4 linked regions of the Oreochromis niloticus genome follow. The protein of the gene in region 1 binds, or shares a complex with, the protein of each later gene. Links are inferred from orthologs where the notes say so. Each region holds a gene or a part of one and is shown on either strand. Other genes may lie near its edges.

What was found.
Region 2: the proteins of arf2b (region 1) and iqsec2b are in contact, whole or in part, in a crystal structure (PDB 6FAE), measured with the Homo sapiens proteins. The link is inferred for Oreochromis niloticus from reciprocal best matches to the Homo sapiens genes ARF1 and IQSEC2. Residues at the interface, in NP_001019397.1 of Homo sapiens: Arg19, Gly24, Leu25, Asp26, Ala27, Lys30, Thr31, Ile46, Pro47, Thr48, Ile49, Gly50, Phe51, Asn52, Val53, Glu54, Thr55, Thr64, Trp66, Asp67, Val68, Gly69, Gly70, Gln71, Lys73, Ile74, Pro76, Leu77, Trp78, His80; in NP_001104595.1 of Homo sapiens: Arg810, Gln811, Gln841, Arg845, Val846, Gln847, Gly848, Glu849, Ala850, Gln851, Val853, Glu854, Glu858, Asp879, Phe882, Ile883, Phe886, Ala887, Ile889, Leu890, Asn892, Thr893, Asp894, Tyr896, Ser897, Pro898, Ser899, Val900, Arg904, Met906.
Region 3: the proteins of arf2b (region 1) and ap1b1 are in contact, whole or in part, in a cryo-EM structure (PDB 7R4H), measured with the Homo sapiens proteins. The link is inferred for Oreochromis niloticus from reciprocal best matches to the Homo sapiens genes ARF1 and AP1B1. Residues at the interface, in NP_001019397.1 of Homo sapiens: Glu17, Met18, Tyr35, Ile46, Thr48, Ile49, Gly50, Phe51, Asn52, Val53, Glu54, Thr64, Trp66, Lys73, Leu77, Arg79, His80, Tyr81, Gln83, Asn84; in NP_001118.3 of Homo sapiens: Asn23, Asp25, Pro52, Asp53, Val55, Asn56, Met58, Gln59, Met83, Ile85, Met86, Ala87, Val88, Asn89, Thr90, Val92, Lys93, Tyr121.
Region 4: the proteins of arf2b (region 1) and ap3b1a are in contact, whole or in part, in a cryo-EM structure (PDB 9C5B), measured with the Homo sapiens proteins. The link is inferred for Oreochromis niloticus from reciprocal best matches to the Homo sapiens genes ARF1 and AP3B1. Residues at the interface, in NP_001019397.1 of Homo sapiens: Glu17, Arg19, Tyr35, Ile46, Pro47, Thr48, Ile49, Gly50, Phe51, Asn52, Val53, Glu54, Lys73, Ile74, Leu77, His80, Tyr81, Asn84; in NP_003655.3 of Homo sapiens: Glu52, Asn54, Pro81, Val84, Lys85, Val87, Ala88, Asp111, Leu112, Leu114, Leu115, Ile117, Ser118, Thr119, Gln121, Arg122.

Annotation. Positions count from the first base shown.
Region 1 is NC_031973.2:4,379,949-4,386,909, forward strand, and holds the start of arf2b (ARF GTPase 2b), read right to left. Parts: upstream 3,100-6,961; 5' UTR 2,946-3,099; intron 1,852-2,945; 5' UTR 1,842-1,851; coding exon 1,694-1,841; intron 885-1,693; coding exon 774-884; intron 1-773. UniProt on the Homo sapiens protein: Small GTPase involved in protein trafficking between different compartments. Modulates vesicle budding and uncoating within the Golgi complex. In its GTP-bound form, triggers the recruitment of coatomer proteins to the Golgi membrane.
Region 2 is NC_031984.2:10,742,312-10,750,115, reverse strand, and holds the start of iqsec2b (IQ motif and SEC7 domain-containing protein 1), read right to left. Parts: upstream 3,009-7,804; 5' UTR 1,678-3,008; coding exon 1,217-1,677; intron 1-1,216. UniProt on the Homo sapiens protein: Is a guanine nucleotide exchange factor for the ARF GTP-binding proteins.
Region 3 is NC_031977.2:18,689,333-18,697,089, reverse strand, and holds the start of ap1b1 (AP-1 complex subunit beta-1), read right to left. Parts: upstream 3,016-7,757; 5' UTR 2,915-3,015; coding exon 2,888-2,914; intron 2,321-2,887; exon of another isoform or gene 2,298-2,320; intron 1,110-2,297; coding exon 1,049-1,109; intron 1-1,048. Other genes in the region: gas2l1 (GAS2-like protein 1), read right to left, coding at 6,940-7,757. UniProt on the Homo sapiens protein: Subunit of clathrin-associated adaptor protein complex 1 that plays a role in protein sorting in the late-Golgi/trans-Golgi network (TGN) and/or endosomes.
Region 4 is NC_031972.2:12,628,616-12,635,553, reverse strand, and holds the start of ap3b1a (AP-3 complex subunit beta-1), read left to right. Parts: upstream 1-3,889; 5' UTR 3,890-3,899; coding exon of another isoform or gene 3,900-4,027; intron 4,028-6,938. Other genes in the region: secretory carrier-associated membrane protein 1, read right to left, coding at 2,795-2,851. UniProt on the Homo sapiens protein: Subunit of non-clathrin- and clathrin-associated adaptor protein complex 3 (AP-3) that plays a role in protein sorting in the late-Golgi/trans-Golgi network (TGN) and/or endosomes.

The sequences.
Region 1 (6,961 bases):
TTCACAACTTTACCATTAGAGTGAAGATGTAACAGGTCATCATAAAAAACTGAAGTGTCGTGTCTTTTTTTTTTTTTTTTTTTTTTTTTTTAAAACGTTTCTTGGGGAGAGGCTAGACCATTAAGGACATCAGACTAGATTGAGATGGTCCGCAGGTCTAATTTTGCATAGAACCTTAATCTTTTTTGCCTGGAAAAATAACGGAAAGAACAATTTTCTGTCACCTTAATCATGAAATCATTAACCAATACTCGGCTCTCTAGCCCAAACACAACTTTCCTTGTTTGCTGCAGAAGAAAATTCTGTAGTCAGACATGCTGTTTGTTTAATGATGCTGCGTCTTAGATCATCACTGAAATGATTCACACATTCAATTTCACACTTGGGTGCTCAGTATGTGGAAGGTGACGTTCATCTAATGCATGCAGGGAAACCACAGGAGCACTGGTGGCAGTGCAGCAAATAAGGTGGCTTCAATCACAATTAATTTCTGAAGATTAAAGACACCACAAAATGTTCAACTTAGTTTGCTTACAAGCCGGATCATGAGTGGCAAACACAAGACAGCATAGGCCTATACATTCTGATGAGTTACACATCAGGAAACAGTAGAGGAGTCACACAATACGCCCTTTGAGAATGGAACAATGGCATGTGAGTCATTGGTCTCTTTAATATCCTCTATGCACCAACGAGGCCACCTACGGGCAGTAATGCTCACTGACACAACTGCCAGCTAAGATAATGCCACTGCACACCCCCTTTCACCTCACCTTGAGTGTTCTGGAAGTAGTGGCGCCACAGCGGCCTGATTTTGTCCTGACCGCCCACATCCCAAACTGTGAAGCTGATGTTCTTGTATTCTACAGTTTCAACATTAAAACCTGCGAAAAGGAAAGGGAAAAAAAAAGAAAAAAAAAAGGAGAGGAAACAGATGAGTCACTAAAAGGCTTTGGACCACTCGACAGCAAACACTACACGCAGGTAAAGATTTCTACGATTTATTATTTTTTTTATTTTTTTTTCCACTGTTTGTTCCTAATATGACTTTATTTTTAAAGTCAACATTTCATGACTGCATTTTAATCAAGAAACGGTCTTCAGTTACTCTCATTTTATCACTTATTCTTTGTTAAACCATTGTTAAAATGAAATGGTCCAGAAAATCTGAAATAAGGAAACATCTGGTTGCTGTAGATCAAAACGCATTAAACTTGGACACACACACACACACACAAAAAAAATTACCTTAACTGCTTAAAGCTACAAAATGATTGGTCACCCAGTGGACTGGTAATGGCATTCACCTGCTTTTGTGGCCAATATTTACCACATCACTTCTGGTTAAGTTTTTTTTTTTAAACAGACTTTAAAATAGATCCATTAATTTTAATTATGATTTAATTACTTGCCCTGAAACAAAGTAAGAAGTAAATAGCAATAAAAAAAAGAAAAGAAAATCCAAAAAGTAGATATATTAGTCATGACCCTAAATTTCGTAACAGTGTATCCCTTGTAATTAAAACAAATTAACAGTCAGATGTTTAAAAGACCTGAAGATCTGGTGAACAGGATTTTTTTTTGTCCTCTCTAATAACAATGGGAAATAACTAATAACATCTTCTCAAAGCAGTCTAAAAATACAGCTTCTTTACAATAATGACAGTGGAGTGATAGATGTAAATGTCCATACCAATGGTGGGAATGGTGGTGACTATCTCTCCGAGTTTGAGTTTATATAGGATAGTTGTTTTTCCAGCCGCATCCAGCCCCACCATTAGAATCCTCATTTCTTTTTTGCCAAACAGGCCTTTGAATAAGCTCGCAAATACATTCCCCATGGTGATGAAGCTGTCAAAGCAGAGACGGAGACAGGGTTAAGGCAGTGTACGGTCTGCTGTTAATCTGTTTCAGTGCAGTATGGTGAGAGGCAGTGAATACAGGGAAAATGTATCAGAGAAAACAGCTGACATCTGGACTGATTTACCATCGTTTTATCGTTAGTCAGTTCATAGAGGTACACCACATTAGAGCAGTTCGATGACAGCTGTATATTTAGTCGAAAAAACGAGGTACATTGTGAGACACACGGAGGAGAACAAGTTAAATGTTTACACAAGCGAATGACTGAGGCTTTCGTCTACGACTCTAAGTTAAGAGCTAACTCTGGCCGACCAACATCAGCCATTAACTTCTACACTACAGAAGTGTTAAAACTTCCTATGTGTCAATTATTTAACAGCAGAAAAATCGCATATCCTGAGGCTAAGCTGTACAACCGTGGATAAAGCGAATAGCTAACTGATGAAAAGATAAGAGAGGCCTGTTCCAGCTAGAAAACTCTGCAATAGCCGGTTAGGATAATGTTTCTGTACGAGTGAGCCGTCACAAGACGCTAGCTTTCAACCATAAGGTCAACCTAAGTTAATGTAAAGTTCATATCAGTATGTGTCAATAAAGGCTGAAACGTTGTGCTATGTGAACGCGCAGATTTTCTGTGTAAAGTCTGAAGTTTTCTCTCTTTACCTGGTTACCAGCACTCGAAACAGGATACAGTTCGCTTCACTAAGGGCGGATGCTTCAGCCAGATAGCTAGTTTTCCTAGCATATGCTAACTTGCGACGAGCAGGCGACACCGTTCGTCTACGGTCTACTGACCACTGTCGGTTACAGTATATATTATTAATAAATCTAACGATGACCTGCTACGAAATCCACCTGCAAAACTGAGGCCTGGTTTCTTAGGCGTGAACATTAAAAGATCTGATACACGATAGCTCGCTAAGCTAACAGCCGTTAGCTAAATGCCGCGTCACAGTTGAGAAAGAACCTCGTGACGTCATGCTCAGGCGAAACTAAATCGAATCGCTGGTACCGTGCGACAATCGCCGTACAATAAATGGCGTTACAGCAAAAAAAACAAGCGAGTTTATGTGGGTTATTACCTTTAAAACGACAGCTTCTCGATCTTTCCGTTATCTCTCACTGTCACCCCAAAATGGCGTCTTGCGCAACCAGGGAGACACCGGCGTACGGCAACTTCCCACTATCACACCGCGTCCAATCGTAGCACGCATGGTGTAACGGATAACCCGCCCAGATGTCTCCGCGGTCCAATCAGCGTGTCGGCAGAGCCTTGTGCGCACAGTGCACAAAATGTCGAGGAAGTGAGCCGTACACAAGTTTATTCAAGTTTCAGACACTGAGAACCGGGCCCTCAGAGTTTTTCTTTTTCTTTTCCTTTTTTTTAACCGACGAGAAATGACTACAGGGAAACAGAAATCGGCCACAAAAGAGACAAATAATGATAATTAAATAAAGAAATCCACACATAAACACAAGGACTATAGGGAGTCAAAAAACAAAACACGGAAATGCAACATTAGAAAAATCTGTTTCTAGTTTATTGTTTTTCCTGTATTTTATGTTTGCCTACGGTCATTTCGATTTACTTTTTGATCGTTTTTCTTCTCTATTGATGTTTAATTTTTTTAATTACTTTTAAGCACATTTTCTGAGTAAAACCTAGTGATCACTGGGGTCACCGAAGGCCTCTCCAGGACTCTCTCCAATTGTATGAGGGAGGTGGAGGGTTCTACCATTTATTTGTGTTTAGAGGCCCCTTTTTCCATGCCGGGACTCAAGATCCTGGCTGATCCCAACTTTTAGGCCTTACTTTCCATCTCGTTCCTCATAATCTGATTAATTGCATTTCTTTGAAGACTTGTACCAGTGAAATCCTCCCTGTGGACTCACTTGAAGAGATATGCTGAAATTTCTTTTTAGATCCTCACTTATTTTAATTGTGTTAATTCAAATTGCTGACACAGAAATGCTATCTATTATATGATTAGTGCAAGGCTGCAGGTTCTCATGACTAAATTCATTGTCTGCGGGTCTCACAACCACTGTCTTTAATCATTTATGGTTTATGACTTTTAGAATGGTAATTAATCACACTTGTCAGCAGCTAACAGCACCTGATGTCTGCAATTATTATTGGCTGTGTTTGCTATCAGAGGATCCAGAAGCTTCACATTCCTCAAGCACCAAGCTGGAAATGTGAGGCCTTATTGTAGACTGTATACAAAAGATGGATGTAGTCATCGTAATCACCCATTGGGTAGTGAAGCGCTGGTGACTCAAGATGAGTGTTTTGTTTTTGCTGTTGCCATCTTGGTATTTTGAAAAAAGTGGACACCACAGGCCAACAATTGCCATCTTATGATTAACAAGTCATGAGCCAAAGAGGAAACTTCATGTTGTTTTTTAGTATGACTTAAAATTAGCAGATTGTGCTCACAAGCTTAGCACAACCAGCTAAGAGTTTACTGAGGGCACAGATCAAGGAAGGAAAAACTTCTGGAAGTGTGTTTGCATTAAAGGAGTCGCCCCCTGCTGGTCGTTAGAAAGAATGCATATTTAAGGCGCTTCCATGTCAACTACACTTTCTGGAAGGTGCATATATCTTTTTACACTTGGTGGGCCTTACAGCAGCAATAGATTAAAAAAAAAGTCTAATAATAAATTATCAAGCCTCTTTTATTTGTAGTTTAAAGGGTTTGTAATATAACTAAAAAAATTGGGACTTTGTAGTGACCTTTACATCAGTGAGTCAGTTTGAATTTTCTGCAAAAAAGTTTAAAGATGGCTGTGCTCGTTCATGGGAACCTTGTTTGAATACCACTCTTCTGTTCACAGCATTAACAGCGAGATCATCAGCTAACCTTTGGGTAGAAAATGGAGTCTGTTAATTAGTAATGTCAAAAACCAGTTAACACCACACAAGGACAAAAAGCAAGCACTGGTCTGGCTTTTGATAGCACTTTTGCTATTGATGTCAATGAGAAGGAAGCTAAGGTTAGCCAGCTAGTTGCTATAGTCATAAAGAGTGTCACATGTAGTTACTTTTCATTTAATAACATGAATCTCTCTTCAGTGGGAACCTAGCTGAACTATTTCAAATACAAATAATGCAAAATTGTATATTTCATGCCCAGATGGAAAAATGTTTATATCTGATATTTATCAAATACAGTTTACACTGTACAAAAACAATTTGTGTAAGATCAATACCTATATTACAATTAATGTATGAACAGGATCAGGCTGAAGCAAACGTTTTCATACACCTTCCTGGTCACATGCAACACATGTAACAGCCTCACGTGTTTAACATCATCTGTTTTTATAGGGCTGGGCCTCTTTATCAGTGCTGTCAATGTTTACAGTGTGCAACAGGTCTAATCCTGGTCTTTCTCAAATGACACCGAGTCAGAAACGACTGGGAAAGGCAATAGCTGGAAATGAGCAGAAGACAGCAACTTTTGTGCCTCTGAGTCATTTTTTTATTAGAATATAAAATATCAGTTACATTCAAGTACCAAGAGATTCCAGTCTTGTGATATATTGTGGAAAACACATCATTTTAGGCAGCTTCATGCCATTTAAACTCTAAAATGAAACAGATGACATGACAAACTCTTTCTTCCACATCAGAAAGTAAACAGAGATACAAAGAACGGATTTTTTTGTTCCTAGTGATCCATAAAAGGAAAGAACAAGCAGGAGAACGGAAAGAGGGAAACAATCTTAACACACAAAATAAAAAAATACAGATGTCACAACCTATTACAGCTCTACCAACACCATTTCCTATTCAAGCAGGTTTACCCCCTTGGAGTGTAAACTACTTGTATCATTACTTAAAACATATAGAAACAGTTTAACCTGAAAATAGACATTTTAAGATTTCTTTTATTTGTACACTCAAGTAGCACTTTATTAGGAACACCTGCTTGTGCTAGTAGTTATTCAGTTAGCCAATCACGTGGCACCAGTGCAGCAGAAACTCTGAAGCTTCATTTACAGTGCCGTGCTGAATGGTTGACCATAATGTTTGCTTTTATTCTCGTTCCTCTGCTTTGTTCTGCTAACACCAGTGAAAACAGAGATGATCCTGTCAGAGCTCAACGTTCAGATGTGAACAACACTTTGCTGAAATGAAGGAAAGAGGTGAGCGTGACAAAACTGACAGAGTTATTAAAACGAGGAAATCAACATATCTCCACATATTAGCTGTTGTATTTGCATATTGAGCAAGCTAGGTACAATAAATCCTTCTTACATTTTCCATCCATCCATTCGCTTCCGCTTATCCTTTTCAGGGTCACGGGGGGCGCTGGAGCCTATCCCAGCTGTCATAGGGCGAGAGGCGGGGTACGCCCTGGACAGGTCGCCAGTCTGTCGCAGGGCTAACATACAGGGACAGACAACCATTCGCACTCACATTCACTCGCACATTTACACCTAGTGGCAATTTGGATTATCCAATTAACCTATCCCCACAAGCTGCATGTCTTTGGACGGTGGGAGGAAGCCGGAGTACCCGGAGAGAACCCACGCAAACACGGGGAGAACATGCAAACTCCACACAGAAAGACCCCGGCCTGATGGTGGAATTGAACTCAGGACCTTCTTGCTGTGCGGCAACAGTGCTAACCACCGTGCCCCTTCTTACATTTTATTTTGCAGAAATATTACTCCTGTGCTCATCAATATATTATGTTTCACACTACAGACCTAACACGGGGGCTGAGGTCTGGATTCCTACAATGTGTTGTTGGATTTCTGGTAAGGAGCAGCTCAGGCTGGGCGCAGGTTATGACACTGGTTTAACACAGCAGTATAAGCTAAGTACCGGGGTTTGGTAAGGTAACGGACATGTAACTAGTTATTAAGTACAAATTAGAGATTATTTTTGCAATTGATTCGGTTTGTTTGTGTATCTTTGCCAGCTGTGGGACTTCAAAGTGGTTATCATTTCAGGTCTGGATCTGGGAGATTTTGAAGGGATCCTTTACCATTATTTGAAGGATTGGATATTTTGTGTTACATCTACAAAAATACGTAAAAATATCACACTAAAAGAAAAAAATGAGAAATTGTGTTGGGATTCCTT
Region 2 (7,804 bases), on another chromosome or scaffold:
TGAGTCACAGCCAGACAAGCACAATATGGCTCTGCTGTGCGGGTGACTATTTATTAAATGTGGCACTTCATATGATACGCTTGTCTGAGCCTGGATCCAAAGTCAGCTACAATGGCTACAGGCAATTAACAAGGGAGAATCAGCAAGATCTACATTTGCAATTCATCACTGCATTTAACACCCACATAAATAACTAATATGTGCTTCTGTCTAATGACTAAGTCGCCCCTAGGGATGAGGAGAAGGGACCAGAGACAACTCTAATCGATAAGGGATTTAGTCAAATCTGAGTCAATCATTGATAAGAGGATTGGGACCATAACAACTCAGACAGTGAGCGAAATCCAGTGATAACTGCTAGGATGATTGCGTGTTGAGAAATACATATGCACAAGAGCAAACGGCTTCTGTTACCAAGACTGCAACAATTTATTTCACAGTGAGCTTTTTCACATGAATTGCTGCCTACTCACAAAGCTTAATGCTTCCAGAACAAAAGCCGACTCTATCTGCATGTGTGTGCGTGCGTGTGTGTGCGTGGTTAAGTAAAAGCAAGGACAGATGCACTTGCTGTTTGCCAAAGCTGTGTTTTGCAGCACTCTAACTTCAGGTCAGCCTTGAGTTTGGGGGGAAAAAAACTCTCTTCGAGACCAAGCAGCCGACAGTTCAGAGCGAGGAAGAAAAGAAAAACACACTTTTAGCAAACAGTGGGTGGATTTTCATCCAGAAATGCTTCTCTTGTCTAGAAAGTTCAGATCTTTATGAAAAAAATAAGACTCTCCTGCCTGGACCCAAGTTTTCCTCAGCATACTACTATGCAACTCCTACAGGATTCACATTTAAGACGGAGATCAGTGCACGAATCATCCTCTCTGCAGGCAGAATCATACACAGCATGATGAAATACACACCTTGAGCACTTATCGCTCCACTCATAATCCTCCAGCACTCAGCATATTTCCTCATGGTGGTGTATTAACACATCCCATCTTAGGTTCAGTCCCATTACTGCGAGGATTATCTCTGATGGCTAAAAAAGCTGATGCTTCGTACAGCCTGTCATCATGTCGGCCTATGAATGTTCTGCCACTCTTAGCTATCACGCAGACTGTGGTCATTACTATAATTTAGAGCCACTTGGACAAGATTATTGACATTCATTACAGGCGGAAGATAAAGCCAGCAGAAGAGGCCCGTGTATTCGAGGAGAACTTACTTTCGGCGCAAGGTGGAACTGGTGTTGGTGTCTGTGCTGTCAGTGCGTTCAAGTCGGTCTGTGGTGGAGGAGCCGCAGGAGAGACCTCGCGTCAGCCTGGTGTGGGTCCTCCTCTCCCTGCCGGGCGCTGGAGTTGTAGCTGATCCGGATATCACCTGAGTTGTTGAGGTGCTACCATTCCCGCTGCCACCGCTGCCACCAGCACCGCTGCCATGATGGATGGGCAGGGACAGGGGCTGGTTGTGGTTGTAGTTTTGCTCGGGTGTGTCCGTTCCAGGGGTACGCGGGCTGCGTTCCTGCCTCAGGTCCTGGTTCTCTTGGCTGACCCGGTCTAGCTGGCCCTCCAGTTCCTCGATGCGCCTGCGCTGCGTCTCCAGGAGCTTGGCCTGGCTCTCGATGATGTTGTTGAGCTCCAGGAGGTACTCCACTGCCCGGTTTGGGCTCTCTGGGCTGGTATCCATGGTGGGAGCCCTTCCTCTCAGGGTACAACCACCACCAGCCACAGGTTATACCCCGTGGGGCCGAGATCCACCCTCCCCACCAGCCCTGATGAGTTGGGGGGAGGGAGGGACCAAGAAAGGCTGTGGTGAAGATTAACTATAGGCTTCAGATGTTCAGAAACAGGAAGTCACAGATATTAAGATATTGAGAATGTCATAGCGACTACATATCCCCAAACATGAGGGCAAAATTTACCATTATAACATCTTAGTAGCCATTGAAAACGTCACAAAGCCAAGAAGAGAATTTGAAGCTAAAAAAAAAGTTCATGGCACTGTTGAGTGTCTGAGTTCGTGAAGTCCCAGTCATTTTGAAATCGACACGTAGCAGGTAAAGAGTTTGGGGCGTCATGGTTAATGTTAATTTACTAAATAAAATGTTTAAAAACAGACTTCCAGGCGGAGGGAGTGACACACATAAGTCTGGTCTAATTTAAGCTTTTCAGAGTTTGATAATGAACTTGCTTCGATGATTGACAGAGAAAAAGAATAAGTAGAATATGAATTTATCCACTGACCTGTGACATACACTGCTCATTAACTTTAAAAGCTCTGGCATCAGCTTTTGGTTAATTAAAAAAAACACACTTTATGTTTTCATCGATATACAGGGGGAAAGGGGGTGGGGGAGAGGGGGGATACGCTAGTTTTGATCTACCACTAATTATTAGGCGCTGTCAATCATTACATAACACAGAAAATTCTGCTCCTTCCCACGTTGAATATCCCCGCAGTCTGTCATCGTCGCTTTCAACCCATGATTTGATGTGTCTTTAAAGCACAGAGAGTGAGCAGAGGTGGTTTACGAAGTTCATTCTTGAAGTCCGAATCCTCCCCTTTGGTCCGCCAAAACTACATCCCGTTATTAAAAAAACACAACAAAACAAAACAAAAAATCAAACTAGATCCCAAAGTATCTGTCTCGTCTTTTCATCCAAGAAAAATGCACTTTACCTCCTCGTCATGCACTCATAAATACTGATCTTCAAGATAAAACTTGTCACCTCTTAAAGGCTAAAACCTAACCGCAAGATTCTGCTGTCCTAAAGTCTTAATGGCTGTTTTTAATCTTAAAACTGTACTTTTGTTTTTGCCGCTTGCGGAAAAAAATCTGAAATTGGTCGAAAAGATAAGGGAGCGTCCTTTCCTACTTATCTGACTCTCAGTGGCAGCAGGTCGGTAATCCATGCAGGAGTAGCGCTGAGTCTCCTTTGAGGTGGCGCAGAAACAGAGAGGATTTCGCTCCTTGCGCGTCTGAACCGCAGCGTTGCGTGCGCCTTTTCCTCTGGAGCGCATCACAGACAAGCAGGCGAAAATAAGGAAGTAACTTCCGGGCAAGGTTTTCAAAATAAAGGACTAACTGTCGAGAATAAAGTACTGACTTAGGGTGAAAATCAGTTGATTTGTGGGCAAAAACAAACATGAATTATTAAAAAAGGCGCAAATTAATAAATTAAGATGTCCTGAGTGTATAAGCTACACAGCGCTGATTTTCATACAAGATCACAACAAACAAATGAAACAGTCGATGCAATGGCTAAATATTTCCACAACTTCCACAACTAATAAGCACTGATTAAAAATATATTAAAGGTTGAGCTACCAAACTGTGTAAACTAAAAATCTATCTATTGCTTAAAAAAATGTAAAATAAAAATTTACGCATCACACAGTCAGTTAAACTTGATGGATTTCAAACTGTCCACTTATGAAACATATTATGGATCCATTTCACCTGCCGTAATGGAAATGAAAGTGCCAGAGGTGCACTGCAGAGGCCAAACCCCCCAAAAAGGAAAAGATTTTGCTGATGGTGGTCACAGCACATTCCTCTCTCTTCGTCTCTCCTGACGGATTTGACTCTAGTTTAGGGTTTTGCCAGTGTCGGATGGTAGCATAAGATGGTACCTGCAGATCGTTTAGGGCAGGGGTCTGCAACCTTTTACACCCAAAGAGCCATTTGGACCCGGTTTCCACGCAAAAGAAAACACTGGGAGCCGCAAATACTTTTTGACATCTAAAATGAAGATAACATTGTATATATTGTTTTTTATCTTTATGCTTTGTGTGAACAACTAAGGTGTGCTGCTTATGAAATCCATGAAGTGCTACAGAGAAAATTAAATTATATTTATGTAATCAACACATTTTGAACTCTTAAAGAAATATAACAAAAGGAAAGACACCCAGCTGAACTAAAATGATCCATGTAGCAAACAAAAACTGTTGTCAGCCGCCAACCTTATATCGCCTTTGGGCTGTTGGAGCCTTGACCTGACTCTTAAAAAAATAATTGGAAAAAAGCTCTATGCTGCTGAAAAATGAAAAATAGATATTTGCAAAATTCTGCCTAAATATGTATTTTACCTGGTTAATGCGTGCGGTGGGGCGTGGTTTGCAGCGCCGCTGCAGGGGAGGCGGACGCACCTGCGACACCCGCAATCACGCCTCGCTGCCTTTACGTCTGCGCTGTCTGTGCTGTTGTGTTGTTGGTGGTGATGTCGGGCTGTGAGCTGAAAAGCTACAGCCGGCTGTATGCGTACAGCAACCGTGTGTGAAAAGTGCTCAATAAAGAGATGCTCAAAAGCATGCTCATGGAAACATCGTCGGGTCTGCCGTGATTTGTTTACAATGGGACTTCTGCTCCTGAACCTCTGCGCACAGAGTCCGCAAATCGGGGCTATACGAAGTCAGTTTACGCAGGACTGTAAGCGGTCATCTGTCAGGCGTGAGCGGTGTTTGTCTTTAACATAGTTCACGGTGGAGAACAGCTGCTGACATAATGTGGATCCGAAGATCCATAATTGGCCTACCTGGGGTTGAAAGTCTCGATAAATGCACGGCGTTTAGGCGGGTATACCGGCTTCCGCCAGCGTGACGCTCATATTGAGCGATGAATAAATAATAGAATATAATTTTATTTTTATATTTCAATGTCACAATAATCTTCCAATTTAGAACTACGAGTTAAAAAGAACTAACATAAATAAAATACACTTCAGCTAAATACTTCTAATTTATTTGCCCAAACCACGCGGAGCCGCACTATAAGGACTAAAGAGCCGCATGCGGCTCCGGAGCCGCAGGTTGCCGACCCCTGGTTTAGGGTTTTGCCAGTGTCGGATGGTAGCATAAGATGGTACCTGCAGATCATTCAGGTTTCAAAGCTCCTGCAGCAAAGTATGTAAAAATCCCCTATATGTAAATGGAGTCAACAAAATATCCACAAAAAAACGTTAAAACTGTTTATTGTATCTTGTAAGAAAACAAAGACAATATTTTAGGTATAAATGAGACAAAACGAAGTTCCACAAAATAAATACAAAATAAATATAGAAATAAATAAATACAGGGAAAAAAAATAATACAAGCTTTCCTAAGAGTTAGGAGGGCAACTGGGGGGGGAGGGGGCAAGGCTCTACAGCCCTTGTTTGCTGTCTCTTTCACAGTCTCAAGACTGTGGAAGAGATAACCAGGAATTTTCTGATTCTATAAGGAGAGCTGGACAGGGCCGTAGAAGGACTTCAACGCAGCAGAAGGACCAGTATCTGCTCCTTTGTTTGAGGAACATGAGGGGGAGCACTGCCTGCGGCCTATAAAATGACCTCCAGTGGACTATTCGCGTTTGTTTCAGATCAAACTGTCAAAAGCAATTTTTACGAGGGTGACATGAGAATCTGATATCCTTCACCCAGCCCAGCACCATGTTATACTGTAATGATTGAGCGTTGCTTTCAAATTTCTAAGCAGTATTATGCACATGCCTTCAAAAAGGTTTTCTTTCTTTGCAGTAGATAGAGAAAGAAATTTTCTTTGGGTCGGTTAATTGTCTTCTGCAGGAATCTGAATGACTAGTCCAGCTGGTAAATAATACGTCTGTCATTCTTGGTCATTATTTCAGTCTTTTGAGACAAACGCGCGCAACTTAAGAGCTAATTAATTATCTCTAAACCAGGATATCTCAGCATACTAACGACCCATTTCATCCAAAAGCGACACCTTTATTCATACCTCTACAGTGTGCAGCACAAAGAAAATGGCATTCATTTTTCCCCTCAAATCGCACAGGTCCTATTACATTTGTCAGATAGTGAATTTAGGAATGCAGTTTTCAACAAAGAAGCGCAAAGAAGACATTTTATATTGAAAATACTGCGAGAATCTCATTTTCCGTCTTTGTAGCTTTACGCATTCCAGGAACCCTGTTGAGCGCCTGAATCCGTGGTGTCCAGGTACGAAAACAGTATTGTGTTGCAGTATTGCACTGCAACACAATGCACGTAAAACATGCCTCTGTCGTGTCAAATATCTCCCTGTTATAACATTTGAAATGCTATATTTGAAGTCGTGATTTAATCCACTTCTATAAGACAATCTCCTGCAGCTGAAGTCAAAGCAGCGCTGTTATTACTGCCGTTTTTTTCTTTTCTTTTTTTCCATTTTGCATCTGAGCTGATTTGAACAGAAGGATGCGGCTTAGGACAACACGAGAGAAAGACAGGCCTCAGAGCGCTGTTATTTTTAGTGTCAGTGCTTAAGTGCTCATATCTAAGCTAAGACTCTGTAAATTCACCCGCGTCTCTCCCTGCACAGCAGCTTGGACAGGTGAGGTTGCCTCACTGTACAGTTAATACTCCACTGAGGAGTGAGGCTGTATGCAAAATGCATGCTCTCGCAAAAAGCTGGATAAATGATTGATCTGCGGGAAATGCTGAGATTTCAGCCTCTTCGTGGATCTCATTCACCACTAGTTAAAGAGTTTACATCTGATTTATTAACAGACATCTCACCCACATATTGCATCTGAATATCAGACTGCATTTCCCCCTTCTCTCTCTTTCACACACACCTTCATCTTGTGAAATCCCACTTCACATAAAAATACTGTTGTCTATGTTTTTGCTGCCATCTGCTGTCCATTATGTGGACCGAGGAAAGGAAAACCATCATGACTACAGAGGAAATTGGTTCAGCAGTTTATTTGCAGTTTTATTAGTGTGTTTACAGTTCAGCCATACTTAGGAAATGAAAGAAAAAAAAAGAATATTGCCAAACATTCATTTATTTATTTTTATATATATATATATATATATATATATATGTATAAATATAAATAAAAAGTCTTATATATAGGCTACCTAGCAACACTGTATGGCCGTTGGAGGGAGAATACAGTATGTCCGTTTGGCTGCTGTAATGCCTTTCTGCAAACAAACAGACAGGGAACACCACGCTTTTTATTTCTCTGCTTTGTTCCTCTGGGTACAAATGGAGGAATGACGTCACTTATGGCATCAACCTTTAAATGATTATGGAGTGCTAACAAATAACAGCTGTAACAGTCTGTGTCTCCAAATGCCACCGTAGAGAACCAACGTAATATTGCTTTAACATTTAAATAACATTAATCCATTGTGTGTGTTTACCAAAATGGCGTGAAGTGACTGTAGCTTTTCCTCCTAATGGCTTATCAAGAAAACCTGAGTATATCAAAAAAGATAATTTCATAGAAAAATAACATCTCACAGTATCCATTCAACTTGGCTTCTGTTTTTTTTCCCCTCAACAGAATATAAAAAAAAAAGAGAGAGAGCAAAAGAAAACGATGTGCTAATTTGTCACCTCAGATGCAACACCGAGCTCAGATTCTGCAGATGATTTTTTTTTTTAAATATATTTTTGTGGGGCCTTTTTTGGCATGACTTAAATGACTAAACAGCCCACACACTTCTGGTATGAGAGACCTCAGAGCAAAGGTTTTCACAGTCAGAAAAATCAGTGGTTAGGATAAAGTGGTTTATGTTACCAAGGCAACTGTACGTGGCACGATGGGCACAGCACTCTTTAGAATCTAGATAGTGGTTTTGTACTGACCCCACATACACAATATTTAACAGTACTTGAAATATGCACGCACCTGATGCATATTTTGGCATCTTTTGCTGACTTCTGAAGTAGGGTACGACACAGAGCATTCTAATCCACACTCAAGCAGCATAATACAAAACATTCATTTATAAATAGGACGGCTACAATATAGGTCTTAGTCTGTTTACATTTTGAGCCTTCACAAAACCTAGTTCTCACA
Region 3 (7,757 bases), on another chromosome or scaffold:
CAAAGCCAGTAAAGAACACAGTGTTATTAAAGCAGAGTGTATACAGTGTGTGTCAAATATAACCACAAAAGGAGTGTGTTTGCCCATTTGTGTTGAATTGTACACAGAATATTTTTATTTTTTTAATTTGAGAATCTTTGAGAATCACGTTTAATTTAGTTTTTATTGCAGTCTAACTCAGCTGCCTAATTAGGGTACAAACTACACACTGCAAGCAAACTGCAAATTATAAGCTTAAATTTGAATCTGCAGACTTAAGTATTTCCCAGGCAAATTAATACTCAAAGTCTCTTTTGCATGTGAGCTCCACACTGCACAACACAGCATTAGGCAGATCCACAGGGGGGAACATTTTGAAGGAAACTTGTTCTTATGTCTCAGGTAATCCTTAAAAACCAAGGAGTCTGGTACACTATCATTTACAAGCATCTGTTTATATTTCTTAAGCCCTGTGTGTGAGAACAAAGAGGGCTTCTAGGCTTTCCCAGGGCAACATTGTGTGAGGGGAGCTGCTGAAATACAAGGAGGCCTAGCAGTTATCTCACTGAGAGCTAATTCTCACTACGTCTTATCTGATATACAAAAGCCAAAGCTCTTGTTCTTGGGAACAACTTTGATACAAAGCTGTCAGATGACATCTTTAGGTACATTTTTTTTGTTTTGTTTGTTTTTTCCTTACTTACATCTAACTTATAGTTCGGTAACATTGCTAGTTCTACCAGAATATGCATGCTCTTGAAACAAGTAAATGTGCTTGGCTTCATAGAGTTGAAGTTAGTAAATACATGCCAAATCATTTTACTGGGAATCTACAAAACTTTAGTTTTATCAGAGAGAAAAAAAAAAACATCTATTAATTACTTTAACAACCTGGGAAAAGGTTAGGTCCCCTTTGGTAAAAATAATAATTTGGCACAGCCCAGCTCACAATGACAATAAATCCCAAAGCACTCGCATAAATATAATGTGTAGGTACCAACAACAATAATTATAATCTCACACTAAGGAGTTTACCATGTTAAATCTTCTAAAGAACAAAGTTTCAAACCTTTCTTAGTAGTGGTGAAGTACTTGGAGTCCGTCATCTTGGATCCAAATTGTCGATTCTCCTGCAAACGAATGACAGGATGAGAAAGATGATAGCGAAATCTTTTCCTGACTGGAAACTTGGAGCATCACGAGAACAACAGGAAATACTAGAAATGCAAGCACAGGGAAATAAAAGGAATTCCTGTCTTCTCCTGAACAAATGGTAGGGATCTATCGGAAATCAAAACAATGGATTCTGTTAAGAAATCAGACACTAATATCTCCTCTTTAAAAAAAAATTATAATAATAATCTTGGTCAGCACGTATGGGGCCAACAATAACTCTTGTCAGCCAACATTCAATGTTTTCTTTTGGGTATCATTAGCTATACTTCCTCATCCCGTTGCCCTCAAGGCACCATTTCATTTTATTTTTATTTTTTTTAAGTTTAAGGTACAAAGATGCCTGCTTGACAGATTTCAGAGAAAACTGTAAAATATTAAAATACTATTGGAAAAATAAAACCTGTGTTTTTACATGAAATTTTGACATTTTTGGCTCATGGACAGCTGGTCGTTTTTAGGAGGTCTCCACAACAGATCATCTGCCTCCATCTCACCCAATCCCTAGTATCCTCCTGTCACACACTCCATCCATAAACCTTGTCTATAGTCTCCGTCTGTTCATCCTGCCTGGAAGCTTCATATTCAACATCCTTTTCCCAATGCATCCACATCACCTCAGCCTTCTAACTTTTGACTCCAAGCTGCTCGACCTGAGCTGTCCCTCTGATGTACTCTTTACTAATCTTATCCATCCTGGTCAATCTAAATGAAAAGCCACGTTTAATTCTGCCACCTTTAGCTTGGCCTCCTGCCTGTTTGTCAGTCCCACCATACACTCTTCCTGTAGTACTTCTGTCACTAATCAGCCCTGACATCTCAACTACACCCATTCCACCCTGCCTGCACCATCCTCTTCACCTTTCTTAAGCACTGGCCAATGTTTAGGTTGGCGTCAGGTATTTAAACTCAACCACCTACACCTAGTAGCTTCACTGGACAGCAGTGTATATGTTTAACATATATATGGCTTGTTCATACCAACATTATGTGGAATTTGTCTCTTTAAAGTCTTTCTGATATAGAAAAAAGTTAGTATTTCCTTGACTATGCACTGAATATCTATTATTACTGTGTTACAAATATGTAAAAATACTTCTGCAGTGAATAAACAAACCCATAAAGATTTCATTAATCGAACTTACATTCAGTTCAGTCAAATGGTAGAACACAGAAAGACAGAGAGAAATTTCCTTCACAATATTCCGCAAAATAACCCTTTAGTCTCTTTAAAATACGTCTACATTTATGAATGAATTCTGTTAGACTGACATGCTAACTTGTTATTAATGGTACTGAAATACACATTAACTAGAGCACCGGGTTTCAGGTACCAGTCGACATCCGACAAGTCGCTAACTAGCCACAAGTTAACCAAAACCGAACCCAACTGTCGACGTAGTTAGCAATACGTTAGCCGATTACGATCCGTTTGTACGATAAAGCACACTGCTACCGAGCTAAATTCACACCGAAACTCTCGTGTACTCTTACGTAGCTTCTGATCTTACAACATAAGTATTTAACAAAAGCTGTCGTTAACTTATACCGCTAGCTAAAACACAAAGTTGAGAAAATGTTCTCTAGCTGGCTAGCATTAGGCTAGAGCAGCATTAGCATAGCTGGCTCGAGTGTGTACGAAAGGAGGCACACTTAGTTGAGTAGTTAACCCAAAATGAGCTAAATTGCAGCCGATAGTTGCGCATTTAACAGTGCATTTCAATCCACTACTCACGCATAACTGATTTGCCCACTCCTGCATGTTTGCAGCAGTTAGAGTAGATGAATGAAGCTAATGCTAAAGGATAGCAGCCTGGTGCAGTGTGCCTGTCAGTGTCAGCTAGCGCCTGACCACTTCTCTGGCTAGCAAAGCTGAGACATGACCTTCTAAGTAGGGACTTAAGGAAGCCTTTGCCGGGATAGTTAAGCTCTTAATCTGTCGGTGTAATTAAGACCTTACTCAACGAATTAGCGTACCTTCTGGCGTTAAAATTAAACTCGCCATACAGTGAATTCAGCAAGCACAAATATCTTACCGTGACAAGCGTAGCAGTTACTGTGATGGCCTTCGTCCCCTCCTACTTGATTTACTTCCGTCTTTTAACAAAATAACAACAGGCAGGCAACGTCAGCTCTCATTCATACAGGGCTGGTCATAATGAGACAAAGAAATTCAGGAACTCTGTCAACGCTGTGCGCTTTTCTTTTCAGCTCCAATCCGGCTACTTAAATCTACATACAGAGTAGGTAACTAAATATTCACTTTCACTAAATAAATAATTCAGACAGTTATCGTAAGAGCAAAGGATGTGTAAATAAAGTGAGACCCAGTTTTGAGTTTATTAGGAAGCTGATAAAACACTACCTAAATACAATAAATAAAATCTATGGCCTAAACCCTTCAACTGATAATATTATGCCAGTGTTTTGTGTATCCGTTTATACTGTATTGAAATAGCAAGTGTTTATGTGCATAAATGAGGCGTTAAATGAGGATTACCAAATACTAATTTCTACAAAAAGATAGCACTTTGGTCCACTGTTGCATGACAGCAAAAAGGTCCTGCTGTCCAGTCATCTCTGAATGGTCTGCATTCTCTCCCTGGGTACTATAGTCTAAAGACTTGTCAAGTTAACTGGTGATTTTAAATTCTTGGTGTGAATGGTTATCTGTGCCTCTTGCCCTATGACAGCTGGGATGGGCTCTAGCTCCTAGGGCTCTAATTTCCAGACTGACTAAACACTGGAAGGTTTGCTATAACAAAAGTTTAATACAAAAACGTCACAAGTTTACAATATTTTTGAATCTATAATTATATAAGACTATGTAGGGATTAGCTGAATTATTTTATCCAAATAAATAGTAATAAAAATTGAACCTTCCAAGCACATTGTGAGGAGAAACAACTGCAGCATTTTAACTCCATTTTGAACTTCACAAAGCAAAATCTGCAGGACGCATTGCCATATTTAGTCGTGTCTTACTTATGCAACAAATTATTTATTATGTACAAAAATATAGTGAGTAACACTGTGCATGAAGAATAACAGAAGCACTTCTTTGCTTTTCTCTAACATGCGCTGTAGCACAGAAAATCCAGTCACTGCTGTGCCAAAAGCTACACATGAAAAAATGACCAGAGCATCATCGTAAGCTTCAGAGCAAAAGATTTATTACAAGAACAACTTGACAGCATTTTCAAATTCAGAAAAAAAAAGTGAAACATTGCAGTATTGCTATTTCATACACAAAAATTCCACAATGTCAAGCAATCTGTACATTTAACCAAAGTTTTAGTGAAAATGGCATCTGATCACAAACATTCGGATTTCGCTGATTGGGGATACGGAGGAATGAGCGTTTCATAAAATCCCGTGTAGGCAGAAAGAGCGGATTAGGACAATCAATCGTTTTAAGATTGTAGAAGTCATGGCTCAGTTAGCCTGTACATTTAAAACACCAAATACGTGTTCGAACAAGCCAAAACAAATGTAAAATGAAAAGAATTAAGAGTACATGTTATAATGTGTTTATACACGCTAAACTGCCCACTGGCTACATATTGCAATCAATGTCGCTTTAACAATACTGATACATCATGAATCATTTGTAGCAGTGAGGAGTCAGCGCATGATAAAATTACTGTATCTTTAAGAGATGGGACACATAAATAAGTTCACTTTGCCTTCAAATCACTCTCATTTTTAACTGACAACATTTCCACTGATTCTGTCTGTCGTCTCGAACTTGGGAAACAGATGTCACTTGAGCCCATGAAAGATGATTTCATAAATAAATAAATTAGACCAGCACTACTTCCCTCTTTACTTCAAATCTGTACATATTCCCATACAGTATGTACACAAAGATATACACACTCTCCTTTCCCAGGCCATGCTCTGTTGGTGTCCAGCAAAAACAATTTTATCAACATTTTCTTTTCCTTGCCTCCACATTGTGTGGGAAACAATCATTAAATATTAATATCAGTTTTTCCTTCGCTCAAATCCAGAAGCTCTTGAGATTCTATGGTTTCTGGAGCCCACTAAACAGTATACCGCTTTCCAACTTTACACCCTTCAACACATGCTAAATACCAAAAAGCTAGTAATGTAGGCTCTGTAGCTGGAGTCTGGCTTGTCATATTGATGACAATTGTGTGAGAGCTTCACAAAGTAGGCTCAGTATCCAGTTACAGCATCCATTATTCATGCACCCCTGCACACATGCAGACACTCGAGTTAAAGCCAGTCAGTCTTCATCTATCAAACCTTACCATGTCATACCAGACCATTATTGGCTCTAATCAGCACCAGGACATTTCAGTATCATATCAAAACAACATTTTCTACCACTGAATAAAACATTTCTCTCTTTTTTTGCCACTAGATGTCACCATAAATTGCGCCACATTATTGAAATCCATCTGTTAAATAGGCGATAAACAACCGAGGGAATTCAGAGGAAATACATCATATATATGGTTTTCATTATTTGCACATCCACCTCGGGTATAACTTATAAATGAAACTGGCTGGTAATGCTTTTTTTTTTCTCCTTCACATTCACACCCAAACTTTCTAATTATTATAAACAGTTAAAGATGGCAATGTAGTGTTACCTAACAGATTTTAGTGATGTTTAGCTAAAAACATTTAAAAAAAAAATGTAACCTGTGAAAAATTGTTTAAGGCAAAGGGAATTTTCAAGGCATTTTCAACACCAGTATTGCATAGCTAAGAACTGAATACAGTGAATATGTACATTAGACTGTATATTCCAAGCCTTGTCTTTACAAAATACCCACTCTCAGCATGTATTTACACATTCATTCTCCTTAGCATTTAATTCCAGAGTACAGTTTGGTCAGAGGAGGAACTCAATATTTAAAATGTCAGCGACAACTATATAAAGTAATATAACCTTCCCCCATGCTCCTCATATTTTTGTTGTACACTCAATGCATTTAAATTAAACTTTTTAAAATTTTACTGCATTAAACAAAATCTTAAAAACCGGTAAGACATTAAGCATTCAAACAAAAAGCATCTATCTTGTCTAGAACAGCTTATTATTATGAAAAGCTGACACTGTTAAATAATAACATGAAACAACTGTACAGAAACTGGTAGTGTGCATAATGTTCATAGAGCCAGAGATGGGTGTACCTTAGTCTATGTTACTGATTACTGTAATGTGAGTATAGTGAGTCATATATGAATACCACTAATGTGGACAGACTGAAAACATCACAGTCATCATGCCAGTATTTTCACTATAAGGCAAGCAGAAGTGCTATGGCAAACCACAAGAGGGAGCCAGTCTGCATGACTCAAGGACTAGTGTTTACATCGTTTCTAGACTTGCAGCTTTAAAGCCCTGGCACTTTACCATGCCCCCTTAGTGAGGCACATGGCAGCACATATGCTCTCTCTTTCTATTTCTGTGTATCAACTGTGAGAATTTCACTAGTGACTTATAAAAAAAATAAAAGATTGGCAAAAGCATCCCCATGCACACATTAAAATTAAAAATTACAGTAACATAAAGACCATTCCTTTGGTAATAAATAATTTGGCTTGAGTGCAAAAAAAGCAATGTGAAGCCCTGCAGTTATTCAGGGGAGAACCTAAATGGAGAAAAAAAGGAGCGTTTGACATGCAGTAAAAACTGTCTGTAGCCCGTTTTTATCTTGTTGGGTTTTTTGTTTTCTCTTTTTTAAACACAGTAGTTAAAGTTCATGACAACAACCCCCTCCCGTGTACTACCCACAGTTTCGTTTTGTGCTACATCCAAGCTTCAGTGTCCACGCTGCCTGACTGTGTAGGGTAGGCGCAGTCTTTGTTGCCCATGGCTGAGGAACGAGGATGAGGATGGATCATATCAGCGAAGGCCTGGTGCAGGCCCTTGCATGTGGCTTGGCGACTGGTAGGATGGGAGCTCTGAGGAGACAGCGGTGGGGTGTGGCAGGGGGACAGAGTGTTGTTCGCCTGCAGGTCTCTGTAGCTGACGGGGGTGGGTATGCGCGAGGGGCCGTTTTCGGGCCTGTTGTCAGTGCGAGGCCTGAACCGGCCCCCCAGTTTGTGCTTAGGGATTGGGTCAAGCCTGTTTGCTCTCTTTGGCCCTTTCTTAGTCTCCAGCATTTCTCCATCAGCGTCCCCGTTAGTCAAGGGCAAATTTGGTGGAGGGGACTCTGAGCGGGATTCGCTCAAGCTGAAGCACATGGAAGAGTTTTCACTTGAGGAATCCTGGAAGGAGCAGTCCTCAGAGAGGGGAAGGGGCAGAGATGATGGACAATCCTCAGGGCCTGGGAGGTCAACACTCCCGTCACCATTTTCCATGTCATAAGGTAAGTCGGGCTGGTGATTTTCCAGTGGAACATCTCCTTCAGGCTGTGTGGTCCAACCAAGAGGATCCTGTTGATCTATCATCCCCCCTTCAGGAGGAGAACATCCATGTTCTCCATTCATATTCCCACATTGAAAAGCAGGTTGCGGGGAAATGTCATTCATCAAACTATCTGACTCTGTGTCTTGAAGCCCAGGCAAGGAAGAAGGGATTTCTCTCTCTTCCATGGAGCTGGAGATAGCTGGGAGCTTCTTGT
Region 4 (6,938 bases), on another chromosome or scaffold:
TAATCCGTATAGTCCGAAGTGCTGTCCTTATCCCGTCGCAGTGCAGTCCTCTTCGTCTCTCTGACTCTTAAATTTCTACAAAATTTCTACTGCGCCACACACACACAAAAAGCACACACACACCTTGTCACCAGACCAGGAGCATAAATATTTCAGGGCCTGTCGTGTTTAAAATTTAACACTGCACTAGTGCGTGGCTGGACAAACACATACTGCAGATTCACCAAAGTATTCATTTTGAAACCTCCAGCTCTGGAGTTCCTGCCCCAGAACCTTTAAAAAACCAAAAAAAAAAAAACCCAACCCCCCCCCCCCCCCCCCCCCCCCCCACAAAAAAAACCACAAGAAGAATCAGCAAACATGTGTTCACCATGATTTTGATTTAAGTGCAGGAAGCAAAAAAGGTGCACTGTTCAACCACCTGACGACGATATATCTAAGACTTCAACTCTCTATGGTTTCTACTCATTTCACATTTGATTAAGCTACAAACCTTACGAAGTGAGCTCTTAGCTGCCTTACAAAGTTTTTTATTCGCTAACATAGAGCCTAATGTCTGAGCCTACATCCAGAGAAATAGGCCAAAACAGCCTCAACAATCTGACGCATGACTGCGAGTGATGAAGCTTAGTAGGAAAGGAGCCAACGAGTACCCTGGAACCACATGTCACCATATGATTTCATGAACTATTGATCATAGCTCAGAGAAGGGAAAAAGCTCTCATTATCCTGAGGCAAGGCAGCCAGAGCCAATGCATGACAGAGAAGTGGGAGGACAGCAGGGCTTCAGCACTTGTGTTAGTATGTTAATGAACCCAATTAATTATTCACTCTCTTTGCGTCTGTGTGGTCAGCCTGTACCATCTTCCCATCAACACTGGGTTCTTTTAAGTCTGTGCAATGAATTAAACCAACTAAAATAGATTTTCTTTTTTTTAAATGTGGTATTCTCTGAGAAAAAAAAAACGAAAACGAAAACACACACGCTTTCCTTGTACTGTGTAGAACCGAGCAGTCACGGATATATCACTATTAACAAGTATACTGTCTGAGGTTAAAGAACTACAGGTCTAATTCTGGATTAGTCTGATTCTGACTCAGAAAATTAGATCTGTTATTTATGACAAAAGGCTGATCTATTTAGTTCAGCTGTATACTGCTCTGTTTTATACTGCTAAATATCAGCAGCAGTGTACTGGTGGCTACTGAGAGGAAGTTAACAGCAAACTACACCAAGTGAGACGACCCGTATAAAAAGCTTAGACGACTGTGGCTTTGGCTTCTCTTTTTGTTGTTATGTTTGTTGTAACACAACAAGGTGTTGTCATCTATCAATTACTGCTATTTTACTTCCTGCTTCTTACCAGCAACATAACACAGTTGTGTGTGTGTGTGTGGATGTGCACAATATTGACTCTTAGACTGATCTTAAATTAAGCTTACTGTAAATAACTTACAGGATTACCACAAATACGTGGGTTCAATCACTAGTTTAACATCAAACAGAATACACCATAATGTGCATTTTGTAAATTATCCTCATTTAACGAGCATAATTTATAATGTTCTTTGAATGAGCAATGATATTTGAGGGCTTCTAGTTTCCAAATATGAAGATTTGCTCATGTTATTTGTTGTGTATGACAAAAAAAAAAATGATTTTAAGCTTTTGATGGACATAACAAGGACACTGAAGATGTTACTCCTGGTTTCAAGAAACTCTAAATGACGTCAGGAGAACAGAATCAACTTTTGGAGATCCAAATGACAGTCCATTTTTTTTTCTCTTTTAAGCATTTCATAGAAAATACTAAAAGCAGCATTAAATGTTTAGATTCTCAATCAACTGCTCAAGAAATAAACCCAGTTTGGCTGGTTGATGTTAAATAAACAAACAAACACTCCTTTAGCTTATTCGTGGTATGCTCCAATCAAACAATCAATGTTAAAACAATCAATGTGGTCATAATGAGACTGAGGGAAGCACCTCGTGATTATTTTAATTATTAAATAGTCTTATGTTTTTGGTCCATTAATGTTAGAAATTTCAGAAAAGAGCACAACTTGATTGTTTTGTTGAGTACACCTGATATGAGCGGAGGAGGACAGGCCTTGAAATACCAAGGAGCACATGATCACATGAATGCTCTCATTATGACACAACACTGTGTGAGCGTAAACACAAGACGTCTTCAGTCAGACGCCTAAATAAAGCCGACAGCACAATAAAAGCAAGGGAAAGGATGTTTGTCTCTCTTTTTATTCTCTGTTTTTACGTTCCTACATAGCATTACATGATCAGGTGATCAGTTTTTTACATTATCGTCTCCAGGTTGGCAAATTAAGTCAATCACTCTAACGTAATGTCAAACATAAAAGAAAACATACGCAACATCTGAGCATAAGTTGTTTAACCAGGGCGTAAATGTGAGGAAATGTGTCAAACAGGTGGGAATTTAAAGGGGTCGGGGGATAATTATAACAGAACCCAGCGACCCAACCTGCTTCAGTTTGAATAAGCGCCAACACCTGGAAGCCTAGCCTCATATCTTTTAATGTTATGTCACTTCTGCCAGTCAGAGTGCGGCAACATTAAGTGACAGTTCAACTGAAACCGAGCAACCGGAGGACGGGAGGGTTTTGCCAACAGCTAATTTAAAGTCGCATTATCAGAGCAGGTTTATTCAAACCAACCCTATGCCAGTCTTTCCTAGCCACGCAAAGCCACCCAGTCTTAATGTAAAATGATACAGCAGCTAAAGTTAAAGTGGCTAACGTAGCCTGTTAAGGTTACCTGAAACGGGTTGCTGAAGTCCGGGTCCGCGAAAGGGTTGCTGTCGAAATCTGACATTGTCCAAAGAGGACGACTTATTCCGCTAAATGTGTCTTAAGGCTAATATTTATAACCAAAGTCGGCGCACAGTTAAAAAAGACCAACTGTTTCGAACAAATTGTAATAGAAAAGACAAGGGGTGAAGTCAAATGTTGACTGTCCAGGTGGAGGATTGGTCACCAGCAGCGGAACACACGTGACATAACGAGACGTAAGGCGGAAGTAGGGAAACGTCAAAAGAAAAAAAAATCCAAAAAGTTAGTTTTTTAATATAATGTTTTATTTAGAAAGAATTTAACGCTTTACTCGCACTAATTTTTACATTTTGTCATAGAATTGTGACATTTTATCTCCGATTAAATGTCAGGTCGTACATCGACTTATCTAAGTAAAACGAAAGAATTAAAAATATCCCAAAGTTATTTTTAAAAATAATATTACTACTTGGAAAATGTTTGATTTATTTTTTTTTATACCCGCACTCATTTAGGCTTTTTGTCGTAAAGTTGTCATATTTTATTACACAATAGCACAAACTTCAGGTAAACTCACTTTTCCTGAAAATATCCTGGTCTTGGCAAAAATGTTGCTGTTTTGACCTTGTGGACTTTATCGTGATGCTTTGGCTATTCAACATTGTGGCTACATCTATTTTTTTGGCCGTCTTTTTAACTTACAATTATCGGCTTCCGCAGCATATGGGTTTTGTAATAATTTATTGTTAAGAATTTGCAATAGTATAGTCCAGTCTACAAGTGACAAACGCGAGAACTACATTTTTAATAACTTTGAAACGGAGAAAAGACTCAATTTGAGGGTCTCTTCTAGTTGCGATAGATCTATGACCTCTCTGCCTCTGAATCCCTGTCATGTGACGCTCACTTGTCCAACTCACACTTCCGCTACTGCGTGTAAAAAGTTGGGTGATACATTAAAGAAGTTCGCTTTTGCAGGAACTTTAGCGTCAACCTTAAGTTAACATTATCACCAACTTTATGAACATTTCATAGCTCGTAAGAAAAGGCGAGTAAGTTTTCTGTGTCGGCCGTTTGTCTTAAAGCTTAGCATGTCGACGGGAGCCTCATACAACGACCAAGGAGGAGCGGAGGCTGCGGTGGAAGCGGGTCAAGAGAGCACCCCGACCTCCTCGAGCACCGGAGCTGCCTTCGGACTTTTCAGCGCCGACTTTAAAAAGTAAGCTAGCCCAGCATGTGTTCCTTTTGTCGTCACGGTGGTTGGTTTATGGCACAGTTGGGTTGTTTTTGTTGAACTCCATATGGCTAATTTCCAGTGTCGTAGTCTTGAAAAGAGGCCAGTAGCATCCACAGGCAGGGCAATGGTGGCAAATGACGGTTAGCGGTTTATAGCTGATGGTAGTACCCAGTATCAGAGTTATAACTTTTCAGGACTTAATCAGATCCGTAGTAGTGTATTTTAATACAGGCACTTTCCCCAGGGAGGGGAAATGGTTCCTGGGTGCAGACATAGAAGCAGCCCCCTGTCTCTTCTGCAGTAAGCAAAGTTGAGCGATAAAATGGGAAGACGTGGCTTGGACGTGTTTTGGGTTTGTGGTCACTGAGCTTTCCACTTTCTGGTTGGTTTGTCCAGTTGCTTTGCATCTCTCTGTGTGCTCAAGGTGTACTTGTCTTGCCTGTTTTTTGCTGTTATTTTTTCCATCTCGTGGTTGTTTTTCATATTGTAGTGTACAATTTTTGTCACATGTTTTGTCATTTTTGCGATCATTTTTTTTTTTACCATCTCCACCTGATTACTTTGTATTTTACTGTGATTATGAATTTTGGTGGCCCTTTTGTGTATTCATCTCTGTCCGCTCAATGCGTGTGGCTTTGTGATTGTTTGGGTTAGTTCAGTAAGGCTCTAGTCATTGCAATCACTGCACAGGGAGAGCTTGATAAAAGATCAACTGCAGTGGCTTCATCACAGAATCTTCAGATACCGTCATTTATTGTGAAACAGCATAAAGTGCTTGCACGTTTTTAAGCGGATGCTACACACTTCCCTGTTAAAAGGGACGCCCTCCTCCCCACTGTCGCCAAGTGGGTGGTTATAGTGGAACACCTGATCGTTGGAGTTCTCTTCCAAATCTTTCAAAGGTTTTTTACCACTTTAGAGTTTAAAGCACTTTAGGATGACATCTGCTGTGTGTGCTGGTTATAAATGAGCGAGCGCTGGGACACACGTGTAGTCCTGTTGCTGCAGGTGGATTGTGCTGACCCTATTACACAGTGGTCAAAAGGCTTAAAGAAAATGTAGAAAACTTCATTTTTTTAATGCTCATTAAAGCTGCTGTTATTCAGCTCTAAGCAAGTAAAGGAAGCCTTGGAAAGATAAGTTTGCTGCATTTCTTGTCTGTACTTTTTTTTTTTTTTTTTTTTTACCTCTTTCTGTCTCAACCTTTATAAAACTGTAGCATATGAGAATCTTTCCATGTTTGATCTACAGTTCAGTTTACTGCTGTATTAACTGCTTTTTTAAAAACCATTGTTTTCCAAATGTCAGTTATCAGTCTATACTGGGCCTGTTGACTCGTCAACAAATAAGATGGCCTTTTACTTATATCGTTGATCTTTAACTGTTGGATCAGTTTTGTGCTGCATAATGCATAGTTTATACTAATGCTGTAAATCTATGTAGAGCCTATGATGTAGCCCACATAACTGCCCCATTTGCAAACATTTATTCCTGTGCTGAGAGTAAATTATCAAATATGGAATGATGACAAAATGAAAAGTTTAAAAATGTATTTTTTATCATGAGAATTTCTTTGTTTTCTTGGCAGAAAAAAGCGCAATAACTAGCAAAACATAATATACCACCAAAAAAAGGAAATACATACTGACCCAGAATTTGACAGTCAGTACATTTCTTTGTAAGACCAGCAAATGGAGAAATGCTAATAAGTTGCCTTCATAAGCTTGTAATAAAACTGAAAGTGGGTTGTTTGTTGTGTTGCTCATGTATTTTAAGTTCCATGTCTGCATTCTACCACTAGAGGGCAGCCAATAACCAGTTTAATCATCTTTTGACTTTGGGAATTTCTTGCAAATTCTGTGACTATGCATCTCAGTTGTTCTAGTGTAACAGTCTGTGTTTGAAGGTACATACACAGGGTACCAGATTCTCTGGTCTAGACTTCACTGCAGTACTTAAAATCTGAGGAACTCAAACTTGATTTAGACTTACGCATTAAGCCTACGTCCTTGAGATGTAACCGGAAACCCCTCTTAACCCTACACTGCATCTAGTACGCTTTAGTAAATTTCCTACTAAAGCATATGTCAGGCCTCAGTCTGTTAGTAAGTTCCATGCATTCATAAAAGTGTTGGGTCACAGTTCAGCTGCTGATTTGATTTTAAGCTTTTCCTGCAGGAACCGTCCTCATGTATCTATTTGCTTTTCATGACTGATGTAGATCTTGGTTTTCTGAAATGTTTCTTATTAAGTTGAAATAAACCTTAACACTGTCTCACATGATCATCTACCCAGTTGGGGGAGGTTTGGTCATGTGTTTGGCCACCTCAGGGCCAAGCTGAGGGACCAGAAGAATATGCAAGGGCTTGAATGATCCTTCTGTTTGTATGTCTGTCGGACACAATTCACAATGACCAAGTCTGTGAATCCAAAAGGCATTTTGTGCTAGTGCATAGATCTATGTCTCATATTAGTGCTGCACGCAAGGCTTGTCAACTTCACCATGTCCATGCTTGGAGAATACATTGCATATTTGGTCATTAATGTTTTAATAGCTGAGGATAGAGTCAGTTCTTTTAAAATTAGATCCAATTTGGAAGTTTAGTTGAAATTACTCAATGTGTGTTGCACGTGATGAGAGATGTAACTTTGCTCTAATATGTTCTAGTGTTTAAAGGGCGCTTGTTTCTGTTTGAGAGCTCTGTGCTAGGGTTCAACAAATCATAGAAACATATGACTAATTTATTATCTGTGACCTAAGAGATGTCTCACTGTGGCCGAGCAGTTTGGTTGTATAGACTTATTGTATTTCTCTGTGTTGAAAGCAGTCACAAAAAATAAAAGGAATGATGGATTTAAATGGAATTATACTATTTTCACTTCCCTAAGCATG